3 linked regions of the Cricetulus griseus genome follow. The protein of the gene in region 1 binds, or shares a complex with, the protein of each later gene. Links are inferred from orthologs where the notes say so. Each region holds a gene or a part of one and is shown on either strand. Other genes may lie near its edges.

What was found. The genes of interacting proteins can lie anywhere in the genome.
Region 2: Smarcc2 (region 1) and Arid2 share a complex: the UniProt entries of both Homo sapiens proteins name them as parts of the SWI/SNF-B (PBAF) chromatin remodeling complex. The link is inferred for Cricetulus griseus from reciprocal best matches to the Homo sapiens genes SMARCC2 and ARID2.
Region 3: Smarcc2 (region 1) and Smarcd3 share a complex: the UniProt entries of both Homo sapiens proteins name them as parts of the BAF complex. The link is inferred for Cricetulus griseus from reciprocal best matches to the Homo sapiens genes SMARCC2 and SMARCD3.

What each region holds. Positions count from the first base shown.
Region 1 is NW_023276806.1:129,431,525-129,437,329, reverse strand, and holds the start of Smarcc2 (SWI/SNF complex subunit SMARCC2), read left to right. Parts: upstream 1-1,700; 5' UTR 1,701-1,750; coding exon 1,751-1,861; intron 1,862-3,822; coding exon 3,823-3,942; intron 3,943-4,900; coding exon 4,901-4,986; intron 4,987-5,732; coding exon 5,733-5,805. UniProt on the Homo sapiens protein: Involved in transcriptional activation and repression of select genes by chromatin remodeling (alteration of DNA-nucleosome topology).
Region 2 is NC_048595.1:392,708,364-392,714,125, reverse strand, and holds the start of Arid2 (AT-rich interactive domain-containing protein 2), read right to left. Parts: upstream 3,527-5,762; 5' UTR 3,342-3,526; coding exon 3,250-3,341; intron 3,139-3,249; coding exon 3,045-3,138; intron 1,900-3,044; coding exon 1,802-1,899; intron 1-1,801. UniProt on the Homo sapiens protein: Involved in transcriptional activation and repression of select genes by chromatin remodeling (alteration of DNA-nucleosome topology). Required for the stability of the SWI/SNF chromatin remodeling complex SWI/SNF-B (PBAF).
Region 3 is NC_048601.1:97,910,558-97,916,628, reverse strand, and holds the start of Smarcd3 (SWI/SNF-related matrix-associated actin-dependent regulator of chromatin subfamily D member 3), read right to left. Parts: upstream 3,527-6,071; 5' UTR 3,375-3,526; coding exon 3,297-3,374; intron 587-3,296; coding exon 375-586; intron 1-374. UniProt on the Homo sapiens protein: Involved in transcriptional activation and repression of select genes by chromatin remodeling (alteration of DNA-nucleosome topology).

The sequences.
Region 1 (5,805 bases):
GCAGAGGACTTAGTGATGGGGGTGAGGCTAGACATTGTGCTAATCGGGGTGCCAGGGAAGCAGCGAGCCAGCCATATGAAGGTGGGAAACCCGTACCAACACATAGACAGCTCCATGAATTCGCAGAGCTCCTTCTCGGAGAAGATTGCGCTATGTAAGACATGAAATACAAAAAGAACAAGTAGCCTGCAAACACTAGGGAAGGTGAAAGGGTAAGAGGTTGAAAAGGACAAGTTTCCTAGTTTGGTTAATAATGTACATGGAGATTTTAACTTGTTTCTGGTACCTAACGTGTACTAATACCATCTGCAGTGGTTAAGTTTCAATAGGCCTCCTTCTAGGCCTGTTGTCATACCTGAAGTTAATCTCAAGAAATTTCAAATGTGGGCTAGGGAACACAACTCAACAGAGAATGCTTGCCTGGCATACACCTGAACCCCTGGATTCAGCAACAAGACATGAACCTGGTGTGTGTGAGCACACCTGTAACTCCAGCACTTGGAAACATAGGGCAGGAAGATCAGAAAAAAGTTCAAGGTAGTCTTAGCTACTGTCCAAGTTCAAGGGCAGTCTGGATACATGAGGTCCTGTCTCAAACTTAAACATCCAAATGAGGGAATGCTTGTTTCTCCGGTCTCCAGTGTCATAAGACTTCCATGTGTGACTTCTAGTCACAAATCTCCAAGACGCCCTCTTTCCCTAGAAATTTCACCACTAACTATCATTGCACAACACACACATTCCCAAACAAAACAAATCTTCACCCAAATCTTTCATTATCTCATGAATCGTTACAGATCTCTCAAACTGCCTGGTGACCTAGCAGCCAGAACAGCTGTGCATCGATCAGTTTCTATGTTACCCCCACCTAACCTAATGAAGCGATGCGATCTTTTCACTTCCACATTTAGATGGGGGTGGGGGGCTGGCGGGGGCGGAGGAAAAAAAAAAGGAACAGAGAATGTCGTCACGAACAGGATTCGAACCTGTGCGGGGAAACCCCATTGGATTTCGAGTCCAACGCCTTAACCACTCGGCCACCGTGACTCCCAAAACCATGCTCCGCCGCGCGCTTACAGAAAGGGTCCGGGCGGCGCCCGAGGGAGGCGCGTGCGACCCCGCAGCGGTGGCGGCCCCGAGGCGCACACCTGGAGCCGCTGCCTCCTATCCCGCCTGCCTGGCCCGGAAGGGTCGGGGGCTCCGGGCTCGCAAACCGATCCCTTAATCACAGACAGTCGGCAAAAAGACCGGAAAGTCAAACGGAGGGAAGAGACCCCCCTCCTCACCTGAGCCCCGACCCCCGGGGGATGCTGGGCGGCACCGGGACCCGGAGCGTCAGGAACACCCGTGGGGTCGAAAGCGGAATGGGAGGAGATGAAAGGGACTTATTGGAGGGAAGGGAGCGCGCATGATGGGGGCCACTCGGGGTTAGGGGCGGGCGGAGCTCCTGTAGACCGGGGTCCCCCATGGGGTCCCCACTCCCGCTGCGGGACCCCGGGGAGCAGCCGCCACCCACCCGCGAGCGAGGCTCGCCGCCACCGCCCCGGAGCCCGCTCGCTGTGGCCGCGTCGGGCCGGGCCGCCAGCAGGGGGCGCTCCCGCGGGCCGGGGCCGGCCCAGGCGGCGGGAGGCGGCGGCCGTGGCGGGGAGGCGGCGGCGGGAGGCGGGCGGAGGAGGAGGCGGGAGCTGAGCTGAGCTGAGCTGAGCGGGGCGGGCGGGCGGCGGCGGCGGCGGGGCCCGAGCCCGAGAAGATGGCGGTGCGGAAGAAGGACGGCGGCCCCAACGTGAAGTACTACGAGGCCGCGGACACCGTGACCCAGTTCGACAACGTGCGGCTCTGGCTCGGCAAGAACTACAAGAAGGTACGCCGGGCTGGCGGGCCGGGACAAAGGGCTCGCGGGCCGCGGCTCTCCCGGGGCCGGCCCACCCTCGGGCCGCCTCGCCTAGCCTCGCCTCGCCGCCCCGCGCCGCGCCGCGCCCCTCCCCGCGGCCTCCCCGCGCAGCGCAGCGCCGCGCCCCCTCCCCACCCCGCCCCCACTGTGCCCTCTGCCCGGGGCTCGCCCGGGGCTCGGGGCGGCGGCCCAGGGCCCGATCGCCCTCGCTCTCCCGGAGGCTAACCGGTCCAGAGCCGGCCACCCGGTCGGCCGGGTACCGCCGCGCGCCTCCTCTCCTCCGGTGTGCGAGCCGCGGTGTCTCCCCCACCCCCCGCGCCGGAGCTTCCCCGCCGAGCCAGGTACCGGCACGGCCCGGGCCTCCCTCCTCGGTGCTTTGTATCCGTCCAGAGACAGACGGAGAAAGCGGGAGGGTAGACAGGCACGGGACAGGCCGTGGGAAGCGTCTCTACCTGGGGGATCACCTGTCCCCCAGGCTTTATCCCCTTCCCTCCTCCTCGGGGGCCAGGGCATCGGGCCCCTTGGCTTCACAATAAAGTCGCTCTGCAACCCAGCCTAGCTAGCTAGCTAGCTAGCCAGCGTCGCTTGGGTTTTGAGGGCCAGAGGATAGGGTAAGCTTCATATCGCCAGTCCCCACCCCCACCCCGTAACTGGAAATAATAAGGGTGGTGAACAAAAGGGTTCAAGAAGCCCTACCTGTTTTTAAAAACATAGCAAACAACAACAACAACAACAAAAAAAAAACCCAAATCTCATTCTGGTGTTTTCATTGTCTCTAGGCTTTTTTTTTTTTTTTTCCTGGATATGGCCTGCTTCCTAGATACCCCTGCCTAAGGTTCCCCCCCCCACCACTTATTTTCTTTTACAGCCCCCAACTCTTCCTATCCCAGCTTTGCAACCTGTCAGAATACAGTGGTCAGCCTCAGAACTCTCCACTAACCCTGCTTTGAGTTGGGGTCTCTATGGGTGTCAAGACTCTTGACAAACAGCTGTTGGGTCTGTGACTCCTGTGTGTACCCCCAGCATGAGGTTCTGCTTCCCAGTCTGCTTTTGACCTTTTGAAGGGAGACCAGACAAGGGTCTTAGTCTATCGCCCCAAGGGGATTGACAGCTGTGACCCGATTCAGCTTTCAAGTGCTGAACTCTTTGTCATCTACTTCTCCCTTCACAGATCTTTTGACACCTCCCACCGAGAGAGGTCTGACTCTGATTAGGGTAGAGGAAATAAGGGTCAAAAGGTAAAGAGAAAATTAGTTCCTTGGATCAGTGAACAAAACAGAAAGGTAGGATTCCAGGTAGCACCATAGGGAAATGCTTGAGGTCATTGTTTCCTCAGAAAAGGATAGGTAGATGTCGGGCTTCCTACTTATCCTCAGGCCCGGTGGGTGGTCTGCCCTCCTTGCTAGAGAGGAGACCCTACAATGACAATCATGTCAGGTTTCAGTGGAAGCAAAATGTACAGGCTTAGTTTTGAAGTTAGATTGCCCTGCCTCTCTTCTTTGCTCTCTTAAGATACCATTATGGGTGGAAGCCTGGTCTTTTATCGTGTTCCCCCAAGAAATACATTGTTGTGTCACTTAGAGCCTCAAAGGGATTTTTGTTGCCTTGCCTTGAACTTCATAAAGCTTCAAGATTTTAACTGTTTGCTGGGGATGAGGTGACCAGCTATCAGGGTGTTGTGCAATGCCAGCATTGGGGTGCAGCTAAATAAGAGTGCAAAGTGTTCCTTGCTGTCTGTCCCCAGTGCTGGCAACCTGGGCTACTGACAGTAAAATGCAGGAGCTGCTAGAGCCCTTTTGATATAGACAGACAACGTGGAGGAGAAAGGCACAACTCTGTCCCAGGTGCTTCCAAGAACACAGGGAAAAGAAACGGGAGGTGGTAGAGAGCGTGTCTAGAATCTGTTTCTCTTCCTTTCCCTTCTTCCTCAGTACATACAAGCAGAACCACCGACCAACAAGTCCCTGTCTAGCCTGGTTGTGCAGTTGCTCCAGTTTCAGGAAGAGGTTTTTGGCAAGCATGTCAGCAATGCACCCCTTACTAAACTGCCGGTGAGTGCAAGGGACGAATCCTCCAAACTGGAAAGGGAGTTTTTGTTGTTTTGCTTTAAATTTTCTTTTCCTAGTACACAGAATCCCAGAATTAGGGTGGTTGAGGCAGGAGAATCAAAAGTTGGAGGCCAAACTGATTTACATAGCAGTTCTGATACTGTGTCCCATGTTATGAGACCCTGTCTCAAAAGAAAAAATAAATTCATCTTGTTTCTCTTCAAATTTCGTAATTTTGGTAGGTTTATTTCCTACAGTAATTGTCGTCATTAGTAGTCAGGGCATTACAGCTTGAACTAGTCCCCAGCTGGCTATTCCTGTTATTTTAGAAAACCCCTGTGCCACAAGTAATCTGAGAATATGGGGTTTAGTCCTCTGGTGTGTCTCTCATGGTTATGGTTTAAAAGGGTATGACATTTGGGAGCAGGAGAGATGGCTCAGTGGTTAAGAGCACTTGCAGAGTATCTGGGTACCATTACTAGTACCCACATGGTGGCTTATACCTCCAGGGATTCTTTTTTGTTGTTGTTTTGTTTCTCGAGACAGGGTTTCTCTGTGTCTTTGGAGGCTGTCCTGAACTAGCTCTTGTAGACCAGGCTGGCCTTGAACTCACAAGAGATCCGCCTGCCTCTGACTCCCAAGTTCTGGCATTAAAGGCATCAGCCACCAATGCCTGGCTGTTTGCTTTTTAAGACAGTGTCCTGGCAGGCAATGGTGGCTGATGTCTTTAATCCCAGAACTTGGGAGGCAGAGGCAGGCAGATTTCTTGTGAGTTCGAGGCCAACCTGGTCTACAAGAGCTAGTTCAGGACAGCCTCCAAAGACACAGAGAAACCCTGTTTCAAAAAAACAAACAAAACAAAACAAAACATTTGAGAAGGAGATGAGTTCAGAGTGGGATTTTTGTGGCAGGTTTTTATTTACAATGTAACTCACACTTCTTCCTGGTCTCTATTTTGTAGATCAAATGTTTCCTAGATTTCAAAGCAGGAGGATCCCTGTGCCACATTCTGGCAGCTGCCTACAAATTCAAGAGTGACCAGGGATGGTGAGATGCCTTCTCTCTGCTGTTCATGTTTAGTTTAAAGAAAATTCCCAGTGTTTCCTGGGGTCCTTCTGAAGCCAGAGGACGCATTAGAAATCCTATGTGTCTTTTATTTTGATAGATCAGAAAAATAGATGGCATAGCCAGAACAGTCCCCAAGAACCAGTGTGTCTGGGAAGAGGGTTTTTAGGTTGGCATCTCAAACTTTGTCCTTTTGATTTAACACATAGAGTGAATCATGCAGTTGTGACTTGGGCAAAATTTGTGACAATATTACCTCCTAATTGTTAAGAAGTTCTGTACCAAGCTGGGAGTTGGTGGCACAAGCCTTTAATCCCTGTACTCAGAAGGCAGAGACAGGTGGATCTCTGTGAGTTTGAGGCCAGCCTGGTCTACAGAGTATGTTCCAGGAATAGCTGGGACTGTTACACAGAGAAACTCTATCCTGAAAAACCAAAAAAACAAAAACAAAAAAACAAGTTATGTACCCTTGGGGCTAAAGACATGGCTCAATGGTTAAAGCACTGGCTGCTCTTGCAGAAGATGTGGTCCTGCTCCCACATGGCTGCTCACAACCCTCTGTAACCCAGTTACAGGAGATCCAATGACCTCTTACGGCCTCCTCAGGCATTGCATTTACATGGTGCTTACAAACATGGCGAAACATCCATATACATAAAATAAAAACATAAATGAGTCCTGTGCCCTCACACAAACTATAACTTACTAGATTATCATCCCTTTACAAGGCGGCGTTACGATTTCCAGAATCCGTCTCGCATGGACCGCAATGTAGAAATGTTCATGACCATTGAGAAGTCC
Region 2 (5,762 bases), on another chromosome or scaffold:
CCTAGCTACAGCCCTACAAAAGCAAACCTGGAGAGTGACATATGGAGGAACACAAGTTTAGCTAAGGACATAGTTTAAAGCAGCTTCTAATAAGAACATAAGGCCCAAGTTGACCTAAGAACAATGTAAATACTTAAAACAACTTTGAAAGTATCTGGTTAAAAAAGACTACCTATAAGTACAATTACTATTTGGCATAATCCCAAGATAGAAAAGACAGCAAGAAACAAAATACTTATAAATAAACTTTGTAAAAGAAAAGAAGTCCAAGTATTTCATTAATTATGCTGTTTGTTAATAGGAATGCAAATTTTACAGAAAAATACACATCTCACCAGTCACATATACCATTCAGAATTGAACACAGAAATTTAATCTAGAAACTTAAAAAATACTAGGCATAACTTTAAAATATACAATTTAAATATACAAATGTTTTAAATTGATTAGCACAAAGCCCTAGCATGTATTAGCATGATTCTCTCAGATCCTCTTACTATCCAAACCAGAAATAATCAAGTGACTATCACTATAAGTATTAAGTTCTTATTTCTCATTTTATTACTAAATCAACGGCTTGGGAAGCTGTTTTTAATTTATTCTTTTATTTAAAAGATACTCTGACATGTATACACACTCACACACACACACACACACACACACACACACACACACACACACACACCTGGTATTTTCTTGAGTTCATATAGAACTAGTAACTGACAAGATCTGTGAACTCTTCAGCGTCAAGTCTGAAGTCAATCTAAGGCAGCCAATAGGAAGTACACCTGTGCAATTACCCTGTTTCCTATGTCAGAATCCTGAGCGCTATACAGAGTAACTAGTGCATTTGGAGCAATACAAGACTCAAATTATACAGAAGCTACATTTTACAAAAATGAAATAAAGGCTATCTTATGATATCACCATTACCAATACTTATTAGAAGGAACTATTGAGATCATTATTTTAATTTTAAATTACTAAGAACACTGGGTAATCAAATACAAATACCGACTCCAAAACAAAGTACAATATGAAAGGATCTATAAAAGGAAATCTAGGAGGAAAAAAAAATCCTAAAAGTCACAAAATACATTATCTAGACTAAAGCATATACCAACTCAGTAAGAAGTTTACTTTTTTGAGTAAGCAGTCAAAATGCAAGGGAAAATGGAAGAAAATCCCAACCATAGTACCTGGCTTCACACCACCCCCATTTTCCTAAAGATGCTGAATATTTTCAAATTTCTCAGAAATTCAGTAACAAGAGTCCAAAAAAGTAACCCTGGTCAACCAATGTATCTACATTGTATTATTTATGTAAAAATATTCCATTGAAAACGCACTGAATAACAGTTCCAATACTTTTCCTTTAAAAAAAGAAATTCCGAAAACCAGAATTGTAGAGGGTTAAGGAGTTTCCAAAGAAGAAAAAGAAGAAAGACAAATCTTCCCACAGGTTACAAAGTTTCATTAAGTATCTTAAGACTTTTACTAAGCATCATCTTTTCTGGCCCTCAGTGACTATCAAGCAGTCAATAACAATGTCACAAAAGAATGTTTACAAGACAGGACATGGGTTGTCACCTGTAATGACTTTGTATGGAAAATGTAAATGGCCGTGTTTTAAGGTGAGGAAAACTTCAGCCTCCTATCATCTCCCTTTTTTGACAGTCAATGCTTCTCAGACTGAAATTACCAAGGGGTTGGAAATTGTTTAGAGCATAAATTTTGTTGTTGTTTAATCGCCCTTAAGTCCCTCATTTCCAAATACTGTGGAAAAGTCACCACTACTCACCGCAAGTAATACTGTTTTAAAGCAAAGGCAGCGTTAGAACAACTTCTGGGAAAGTTGAACTCTTCAACAATTTCTCCCCACTGATTCTTCTCAGAAACCTGTTAAAAACACAGGCACACTTGTCTGAAAGTGCCCAATCCAAGAAAAACCTACCCTAACTTGGGAGCTAAATTCCCATTCTGCAGAGATCTGCAGATACCTAAGGTATCAGTGGGTGTCTGGGGTCTGTCCACAAGAGTTACTAAGCCAGGGCCGCCTGAATCACTAGGTTTTCATCAGAGAGACCTGCATTTAGCAGCACTTGTTTTGTTTGGGGGGGAGAGGATTGGTGGGTTTGTTTTGTTTTTGAAGCCCGGACAATAACCAATCGCAAGTCCCTCTGTCGCCCCCTTTTAAATCTCAACGCGGTCCGTTTACACTAAAGAAGAAGAAAAAAAAAGTTCAAAAGGATCAATACTGCTCCGGACAGCGACGTCCGCGAGCTCTGGGGGGGCCGGGGCCGGGGCCCGACTCCGATCCCTCTCCCAGATCTCTCCATCTCCATAGGCCCTTCTTTGAGGCCTACAGCTTCTGCCTAGCCTTGAAGCCTAAGATGGCTATTTGCAGACAGGTCCTGCTTTCTTTTGTTAGCTGTGGAAAGCCAGGGCGAGCGGGCCGAGCCTGTGCCCCCGGCCGCCGGGATCATTTCGCAGCCGATTATCGATGTTAAACCTGCCCGCGCTAATTTTGAGTTGCACGAAAACTGCTCAGAGTCTGTGTGTCTCTGTGTCTCCGCCTGTGCTAGAGCGGCAGCGGCGGCGGCGGCGGCGGCGCGGCGGCGGCGCTGACTCGCAGGCGGCGAGCGAGCGGGCAAGCGGGCGCGGGCGGGCGCGGGGTTCGGCGGGCGGGCACCCTGCTCGCCCGCGCTCCCCCGCCGCGCCGCTCAGACCCCGCGGGGGCCGGCCGGACACCGGGCCGGGGGCGCTTTCCCGGCCGCCGGGCCGCCGGGCCGCCCGCCCAGCCCGCCCAGCCCCGCGCCCCGCCGCGCGCACGCGAGCGAGCGAGCGAGCCACCAGGCCGAAAAACAGCCCCTGCCGCCGCCGGGCCGCCTCCGTGCCACCGCCGGCTGCGAGCGCCGAGAACGCCGTGTGCCCCGCCGGTCGCCCCCCCCCTCCCCGGCCCCCGGGGCGCCCGCTCCCGGGCCGGAGCAGACTTTTCGGAGCAGGCCAGCGAGAGGGAAATACAAATTAAAACTTCCACTCACCTTCGCGAATCCGCCTAAAGTAGTGACTCTGGTGTAGAGCCCGTGAAGATCCAGCTCCTTCCCACCCACCGCAGGGATCTTCTTAAACGGCGACCTGCGGGCGACAGAAAGCCCCGCACTTGTCACCGGGACCCCCCGCGCCCGCCGCGGGGCCCCGTTCGCCCCGGCTCGCCCCGGCGCTCGCCCCCCCGGGTCCTGCTCTCACCCTCTGCTGTGGTGGAACTGCCGCAGCTCGTCCAGGAAAGCCAGTCCCTTCCTCCGCTCGTCCGGAGGCGCCTTCCCCGTCGAGTTTGCCATTATTTTGCCAAAAGGAAGGGCTTCCGAAAAGCCAGATCGCGCTTCAGACGCGGCCCCCGCTCCCCGCGCTCCCTACCAGCGCCCGGAGCCCATTCCTCGGCCGCCGGTGGCGGGGCTCAGTCATGGGCCGGCGGTGGCGGCGGCGGCGCGGCGGCGGCGGCGGCGGCGGCGGCGCAGGGAGGGAGGAGGAGGGGGAGGAGGCGAGAGGAGGGAAGGAGGGAGCGGGAGGCCAGGGGGAGCGCAGGGCCGGAGGGAGGGGAATTTCTAAAAAAGTTTAAAGAAACGGGAGCGAAACTAGAGGGGCAAGGCGACGGGCGCCGGCCGGGCGCGGAGCCGCGGGGCGAGCGCCCCCCCTGCCTCGCCGCCCCCGCGGCCCGGCTCTGGCCGCCTCTCAGCGCCGCCGGCCCTGGCGGCTCGGCCCGGGACGCGATTCAACATGGTGCTGCGGCCGGGGGGCGCACGAGGCGCCGGGGCCGGGCGAGCGGAGGCGAGGGGCCCGGGTGGCCGCAGGCCTGGGAGTTTCGGCGGCGGCGGCGGCGCGCGGCGGCGGGCGGCGGCAGCGCGGGGGCCGGGGCAGGCGGGGCCGCGTGGGAGGGGGAGGTCTGTGTGGTGGCTTGTGGAGAGCGGGGTGACAGCGTGGATCCGGCGCGCGGCTCCGCGGGGCCTCGCACACATTCACGCGCGCGGCGGCGGAGACGGCGGTGGCCACGGCGGCCCGGCGTCCCCCGGCACAGGCTCCGGCGGCAGCCGAGCCGCTGCGCGCCGCCGCGCCGGCCTGCCTGCCTGGCCGCCAGTCTCGCTCTCAGCCGCCGCCGCCACGGCCGGGCCGCTCGCACGACAGCGCCGCACAGCGCCCCCCGAGGGCCGGCCGCGGCACTGCGCCTGGCTCCACACGGTCGCGGCTGCTCCTCGCGGGGAACAATAGACTCCGGCTCGCCCGGCTTAGGGTTCATCTGCAATGTGCAGCACATTTCACACGCACACAAAGCGGGCGGAAAGGGGGGCGGGGGCGGCGCGGGGAAACGGCCACTACCGGTTCTTCCAGGGTGAGGGGTGGAGGCGATGTGCGCGTCCCCGGCGGCCGGGGCTGTGGCAGAGCGGCCTCCGTGTCCCCCCGCCGGGCCTCCCGCCGCACCGAGGGCCAGCGGCTCGCCCCGGCGCAGCCCTCGCCTCCCGGGGAAAGTCCTCTCGCAGCCTCTGCAAATGTTTAGGGCGGGAGGGATCGGCCTCTCGGCTTTATGCTACCAGACTGGGGCCCGAGGAGCACATTTTCCACGGTGTGACCAAAAAACTCATTTTGACAAACTGTGGAGCACACACGGTGTGAATTGTCTGCCCTACTTTTGTGGAGATGAGAGTAAGGCTCTGAATTCGTCTCGCCCCTCGGTCGGTTTCGTGCACCGAACCGGAGTTGATGCCAACAGTCACCGCGCCGGTTAAGAAACCACCTCTAGAACTTTGAGGATAACGTTTATATTTGGCACTAATATCTTAAAATAGAGGGCAAAACGTTTCCCCTTGCCATTTTCCGTAGCGGTCCTTAAATGTGTAAAAAAGGGAATTCAAAATTTTCTCTCAACAAATAACACCCAAATTTGCATTGACGAAGATGTTGGAGCCCTCCCTCGTCGAGCATCATGTTTCCTCAGTGTGTTAGCATTCCCATTTTAGAGACAGCCACTACTGGCAAAGTCACTAGCCCAAGGTCACAGGATAGTAAGAGTGTGCACGGGTTTATTTCGGGTAGTCTTTCCAATGGCACATGGATTGGGTGGCGGCAAAGAAAAAAATTATGTAATACGGTGAAGCACGCTTCCGGTACTCACTCTAGGAAACGGATTTATTTCCCCAGTAAAGTTTATGTCTTAAATGGGGTCGGAATAAGGTGTGGCTAGGAAATTCCTGACACCCGAGGACCAGTGAGTGTCTCGCAAGCCTGTGAGGGGCGGAGACCCTGCCCGTGGAGGAGGAGAAGCCGGCTGGCCGGAGGCGAGGCACGGGTGGGCCGGCCGGCTGGGCGAGCGGGCGAGCCAGCAGCCCCCCTCCCCCGCCGCCTCAAGGGCAGTGGCGACCACGGCGGGCAAGCGGGCGGCCGGGCAGGCTGTGCGGGTTCCCTGCGTGCGGCACTTGCGCACGGCCCCTTGCGTAACCGTCAGCGCCGGGGATTCCCTAGAGGGGGGTCACTCGCTTCAACCATTACACACAGCCGTGCTCCGCCGCGCCTCACAAAATGGCGGCGCCCATGGAGCCGGCGGCGGCCGCTCCCCGGCCCCATTTTGTGCGAGCCGAGAGATCTGTCAACATGGAATACCTCCGCCGAGGGTGCAGCAGATTGGCAAGCCCGCGTGAGGGGAACGGAGCCCGAGGGGACCCATGTTGCACGGTGTCGACGACGCGCCCTCCGACCCCCGGCGCTCCGTC
Region 3 (6,071 bases), on another chromosome or scaffold:
TCAGCAAACACACAGCTAAAGCTCAGCCCTCAGTTTACTGCCAGCCCTGCCTCTCCCCAAAGCCTGAAGCGTCATCCAGAACTTGGGGTAAGGGATGTGAAAAAGGATTTAGCAAGTGACAAGCAGGAGAGCAAGGGGTGCGTGAGAGAGGGGACACTGGCAGCTGACTGTCGCAGTCTGTCTCCAGTGTGGGCACACAAAAGAACCAGACCAGTGCCCCCAAGCCCTCCCCAGAGAGTATCCAAGTCAGAATGACTTGGTCGCTGCTAACACCCTTCCTCAGCTTCCCACACCCATCACTCACCCACCTGGTCCCCGAGGCTTCTGCCTGCCCGCCCCTGCACGCCCTTCCACGCCGGTGGGGGGGCACTCACCTGCGGCTCCGCGCGGGGGCGGTGGGCACAGGCTGGCCCTGGCCCTGTGGCTGGCTCTGCCCGGGCGGGGGCGCTGCTCGCTTGCGGGCGGGCTCCATGCCCGCGGGGGCCAGGCCGGGTCGCACGGCGGGGCTGCCCATGTAGGGGGAGCCCGGGGGGCCCATGGGCGCCCCCTGGTGGGGCATTCGGGCTCCAGACGGCATCCCGGGGCGCTGGGGGGGTGGGGTGGGGCGGGAGGTGAAGCAGAAACCGGCGCCGACAGGTCAGATTCGGTCCCGACCCCCAGGCCAGCGTGCTGTGTCCCCGCCCCTCTCCAAGACCCGGGGCTGGTAACCCTGCGCTGAGCGAGGAGTGGGAGTGATTGTGGGAGGGGCGGGGGCGCGGGAATCTGCGTGGCTCTGGAGGAGGGGGCTCGCCGGCTCCTTGCAGGAAGCTAACTGAAGCCAGGCAATTGCCCAGGGCATAGCCGAGCCTCGGAGCCGTGCAAGGTACCGCAAAAATGAATATTAATGGCGCCTTTCAACCTTTCAAAGGATGTTCACATCGGCAGGCACGGTCTTCTGCAAGCCAGCCAGAGCCGGTCTTTTTTATCCCCAATTGACAGATGGGGCAACTGGGGCTCAAAGAGAAAAAGCGACCTCGCCAAGGTCACCCCGTTCATCCCGACAAAGGCAGCACCTTGACGGGCCTTGCTCCCCGCTGCTTTCCTGCTTTCTACAGCCCACTTCTGGGGCTTTGTATGTGAGCCCCCATCTCCCTTTCAGCACCCCTGGTTTGGACCCTTGGTGTTCAAATAACCCCTTCAGCTGACTCCAGGTCTCTGACTTAGTCTGCCTCCTTAATTTCATTTCTCCCAAGGTGATACAAGAGGCTGGGCAAAGGCACCCGAGGGTCTGAGCTTTTCCGAGTGGCAAGTGGGGAACTGGACTAGAAGTGGGCTGCCAGAGGGCAGGGATGGTTGAAGGAAGCCACATCTCCCTCCCATCTGCCTACATCAGAGAGAGAACCCAGTACCCACCCCATCCTAGTAAGGGTACAAATTGGAGGGAAATGAGGCAGGTTGTATTTCCCCAGCCACCACCTCTGGGCAGTCAATCAAAACAGAAGAGGTGTAAACGCAAGCGGGGTGTTCCAGAGTCCACTTGTCCAGGCCTGGAAAGGGAGTTGAGGTTTAGGGGCTAACCAGGAACAAGGAGGTGATGTGGGGGTGCAGACCCTACTATTTACACACCCTCATCTCAGGCTAGGGATGTAGCTTGGTGTAGTGCTTGCCCAATACATGTGAAGCCCAGGGTTCGATTCCCAGCACCAAAGAAACTGCACTTGTAATCCCAATCTCAAGGTGGGGACAGAAAGAGCAAGACCATCTTCCCTTATATAGTGAGTTCGAGGCCTAGGCTACAGGAGACCCTGCCTCAATACACAATAAACAAATACAAAATACTCCTCATCTCACCCCAGAACCAAGAAACCCCGACTGCTCAGACCAAAGGTCTCCACCCTCTACCACCCTCTACCAGCAGCTGTCCCTGGCCATCTCTTCTGTAGTGTAACCGGCCAGTTCCTGAGTTTGCCTCCCCCATTCCACCTGACTCTGTCACTCATACCACCAGTGCCACCAGGGTGGAAGGCCAGGCCTAGTCATTCCCCACTACTAATAAGGGGGCCTTGATCACTCAAGGACTGACCCTCCAAGTTGGCCATATTCAAATCCACATGGGCAGCCTCCTCTTCACTGAATGGGACTCTGTAAAGCAACTCCCCCAGGCAGCTAGGTTAGGACTGGTAACTCCACTAACCCACAGGACTGCCTTGGGAACTGCACCCCAGAGATCCCTGTGGCTAGAGGGCAGGCTGCCACAGGGAAGCCCTCCTCCCTATCAGCTGCCCTGCTACTCATCAAGGCCACCCACACTGTCTGGTTTACTGAGAGGAAGGGGCTTCCAGGGGCTCTGCCACCAGCACCACAATCACAAGAGGTCAAGGTTTTGGGGGCCCTTGCCTCTTTCACTGAGGAGGTGCTTCTTGGAGTCACAACCAAATTTGGCCATAGTAAATTTGACTGATTTTTCCCTCTATCACATATCCCCAAGCCTGGAGCGCCTTACAGCCAGGCTCTCCACTGACTCAACCCAGTCATCTCCCTCCTCAGGTCCCTGGAACCCTCAGGTCCCTCGTGTGCCTTCACATGTCTGTGGCAGGACACTATAGTGTTAACCCTTTGATCTCTAGGCCTCATGTCCCCAACTCCATCCCTTCACACCTTTGAGGTATTAAGGTCATCAACTTCTGGTGGCTGAGCCTGCCAAGGGATCCCCTGACCCCTTTAACTTGGGGTCCATCTCTTAAGTAGGCCTCTCTTAGCTCTGACAGCAGGGCCAAGTCCTCAGGACCCTCCTGCTAGGCTGCAGAGGTTGCTCAGCCAGGGAGCTTTTGCTCTCAGGTGCCTCCAGGGTCACCTGCTCCTAGTTCCTCAGACCCAGTCAGAGTGACACTGCCCCTGTGGATGAACAGGACAACAGGCAGCCCAACCCTAGTTGTGTGTTCCAGTCGCCACCCCACCCCCACCCCAGGGCAGGGGTAACACCTGGGCCCACCAGTAAAAAAGAACGGGCGACGTGTCAGCTACAGAGGGGACCCACCTCTTGGGGGGCACGGTGCCCACATCCCACCCCTTGCCCCTGACAAGAGCCCAAGCCGACGCCTCTCTTCCCTGCCGCCGCGCGCCCATCCCCAGCCGACCGCTTGGCGACGTGTTCGGATGCCAGGGCGCCGGCAAGGTCCCAGGGTTGGGCCGTGACCGTGCGCCCCCCAACCAAAGGGGTGGGAGAGCGGGAGCGCGCCGGCGGCCCTTCCCGATCATCCCTCCATTCAGCCCGAGCCAGCTCGCTCGCCCTCCCCCGCTAACTTTCCCCCACTCACCACCCCATGGACCAGAAACTCAAAAAGTTTGCTTTTCGTGGCTTTGCGCGCCCCTCCGGCAACTTCGTCCGCGGCCATCGGGGTGGGCTCAGCGGCTCCTCTCACTCTCTCTCTCTTCCTCTTTCTTTCCCTTTTCTGCCTTTTTTTCCTCCAACTCTCCCCTCTGAGTCCTGCTGGGCTCTCTCACACTTCTACTCGAGCGGAGTGGGGAGGGGGCCCCTTCAGGGCTGCCCTGACGGCCCACGGCCCAAGCCGCCGCCGCCCGCCCGCCGCCGCCGCCCGCCGCCGCCGCCGCGGCTGCCGCATTCCTGCACTGATAAGACAGAAATAGTCCGGCGGCCCGGGGTCTGCCTGCGACGCGCGGGGACACAGCAGCCCTCCCGTGCACCCGCGTGGTCCAAACGGCGCAGAGACGCGGCGAGCCAGGCCGGTCCGCCCAGCGGCTGCGAGGCGGGCAGCGAGCGCCCAGGCCGCCGGAGGCTCGCCGGTGGCGGCACGGGGAGGGACAGTCTAGGGAGGGGACGGGGGGGGGCTTGCCCGCCACCCTGCCTTCTTTCTCCACAAACAGTTTCTCGGTTGGGGAATTCGCCGGCAGGGCCAGGCAGAGAACGGGCAGTTCCAACTTTCTTCCCCCAAGTGGCTCCTGCAGCATTTCTGAGGCCCTTTCCCCAGGGACCGGGCAGGCCAAGTAGGGAAACATTTGCTGGAAGGAATCCGGGGGCGGGGGGGCGGGCGAGCCGGGAGCGGGCCTTGCAGCCGTCCAGGGCCGGCCGCCGTGGGTGTGCCCGTGCCTCGCGCTCCGCGTGTCTGCACCCTTTTGTGGCTCGGCGCAGCGGCCGAGGGTGTGGATGTTTATGTGCGGGCACCGGTGTGCTCCCTCCACGGGAGCCGCCGTGCCTGCGCGTGCGAGCGTGCGAGCGTGCGTGCGCGCGGGGCAGGACACGGCCTGTGCCTTCCAGCTCGGAGGGAGGCTATTTCTGGGCTCGTGAGTCTTTGTTTGCCTCTGTGTGGGAAAGTGAGGGCAACCGGGGAAAGTCTTTCCGAAAAGGGGACATGGACTGGGCTCCTGAGCACAGGAAGAGTGAGTGTGGGGAATCGTGCCGAGCCGGGATGCGTACTTGGGTGGGTAAGGAGGAAAGAGTGAGCAAACAAGGTTTGGTGGCTCTGGCATGGAGACCCAGGGGGGCTGGGGGGCTGAGGTCCGCTCCAGGACCGAAGAGAAAGCAGGAGTGTGGAGTGGGAGAGGATGAGGGAGCCCCGGAAAGGACCGTAGGGAGAGAACTGGCCGACCCCCGAGTGGAGGGAGAACAGAAAGGAGATCCCTAGGCTGAGCTCAGGCCCCGCCCATGCCAGAAGCCACGCCTGTTCCCACCTTCTGGAGGAGGAGCCCGCAGGCTTTGGGACAACTAAGGGTCACACTTATGGGCTTCCTGGGACGGCAGCTGTCAGAACTAGGATGAGGGAGGGACAAGGCCTGAGGGAATTTGTGGGAACACATTAAAATTTGAGCCCTCAGGACCCAGCATTGCACGGAGGGGGCCTAACCTTTGGCCCTGCAGAATGTCTTCATTGGCCAGGACAAGCAACAGAGGGAATGTTCTCCCAGGAGTCTTTTGGGCCAGCACCTTAGTTTCCTGCAGGTCCTGCTAGTGTGCCTAGCTGTCATTGCCCTTTCAGGCGCCCACTGTCACTGTGAAAGGTTTAGAGAGAACGCCTTGTTCAGATGGTGTGGCAGACACTGGTTCACGGTGGGCTGACCAGCAGCCAGGGCTATAAAGGTAGCTCTAGTGATGATCTGCGTGGGAACCCTCCCTCATCTGCTAGCCTTGAGGCTCTTCTGCCACCGTGTAATGCCTCCACTTGCCCTCTGCCTGGCCCATCACACTCACCCTTTAAGACCCAGGTCAGACCCTGGTTCCTGGCCTCACTCATGGGAATACATCTTAGTCTTCTCCAAACGTCCGGTATCACTATCTTGTCCATAAACTGGGCTGGACTAATGCCTCAGGTGTCCTTTGCTTCAGGTGCATTTGGGTTTGTGACTCCTGAGGGCAGAACCTGGCCTTGGGCCCATGTTTTCCCCAGGCCTGGGTACAGGAACTCTGTAACACCAAAGCCGAGAAAAGCCTAACCTAGGCCAGTGGGTGCAGCTGGTGCTCTGGCATATACCTGAAGATTTGTGCTACCCCTACCTCTACTTCTAGCCGGGCCTGGGACCAGGCCTCCTCCAAGGTTCTGGGAATGGGGTAGACACATCTAGGCTTTAGGAAAAGTTGGGTGTTTTCAACTTTTAGAGCTACCTCTTGGGGGGAGAAGATAGTAGGTGGACTGGCATCTCAGCTTTGGGGGTGTGTGAAGGCCAAAGGAGGGGTACCAGCTCAGGGAGGTAGCAAGAGATTACAGGGGTGGTCTTGGTGGTGAAGGAGACACGGGCTGAGTGGATACCAGTACTAAAGAGATGGAGAGCACCAGGCAGGTCCATCGATAAGGTCCTTCTCGAGCCACCCATCTAGGTAGGGTATCATTACACTGCACAAATGGCAGCCACGGGCACACCGTCACAGGGACCAGGAGCCACAAGGATTTGCACACACACGTTGACCTCCCCCACCGAGATGCTGGAGTCACAAGCGAGCGGACACATTTACATGCTCTTGTAGCAAGTCCGGTCGAGGGCTCACGGCCAGGGAGCCGTCCTCACAAAGACTCGGGTCCTCACCAACTCAGTGCCACCAGGTCGCTAGGCAGCAGCATGCTGCCCGCGGTGCCTGCTGC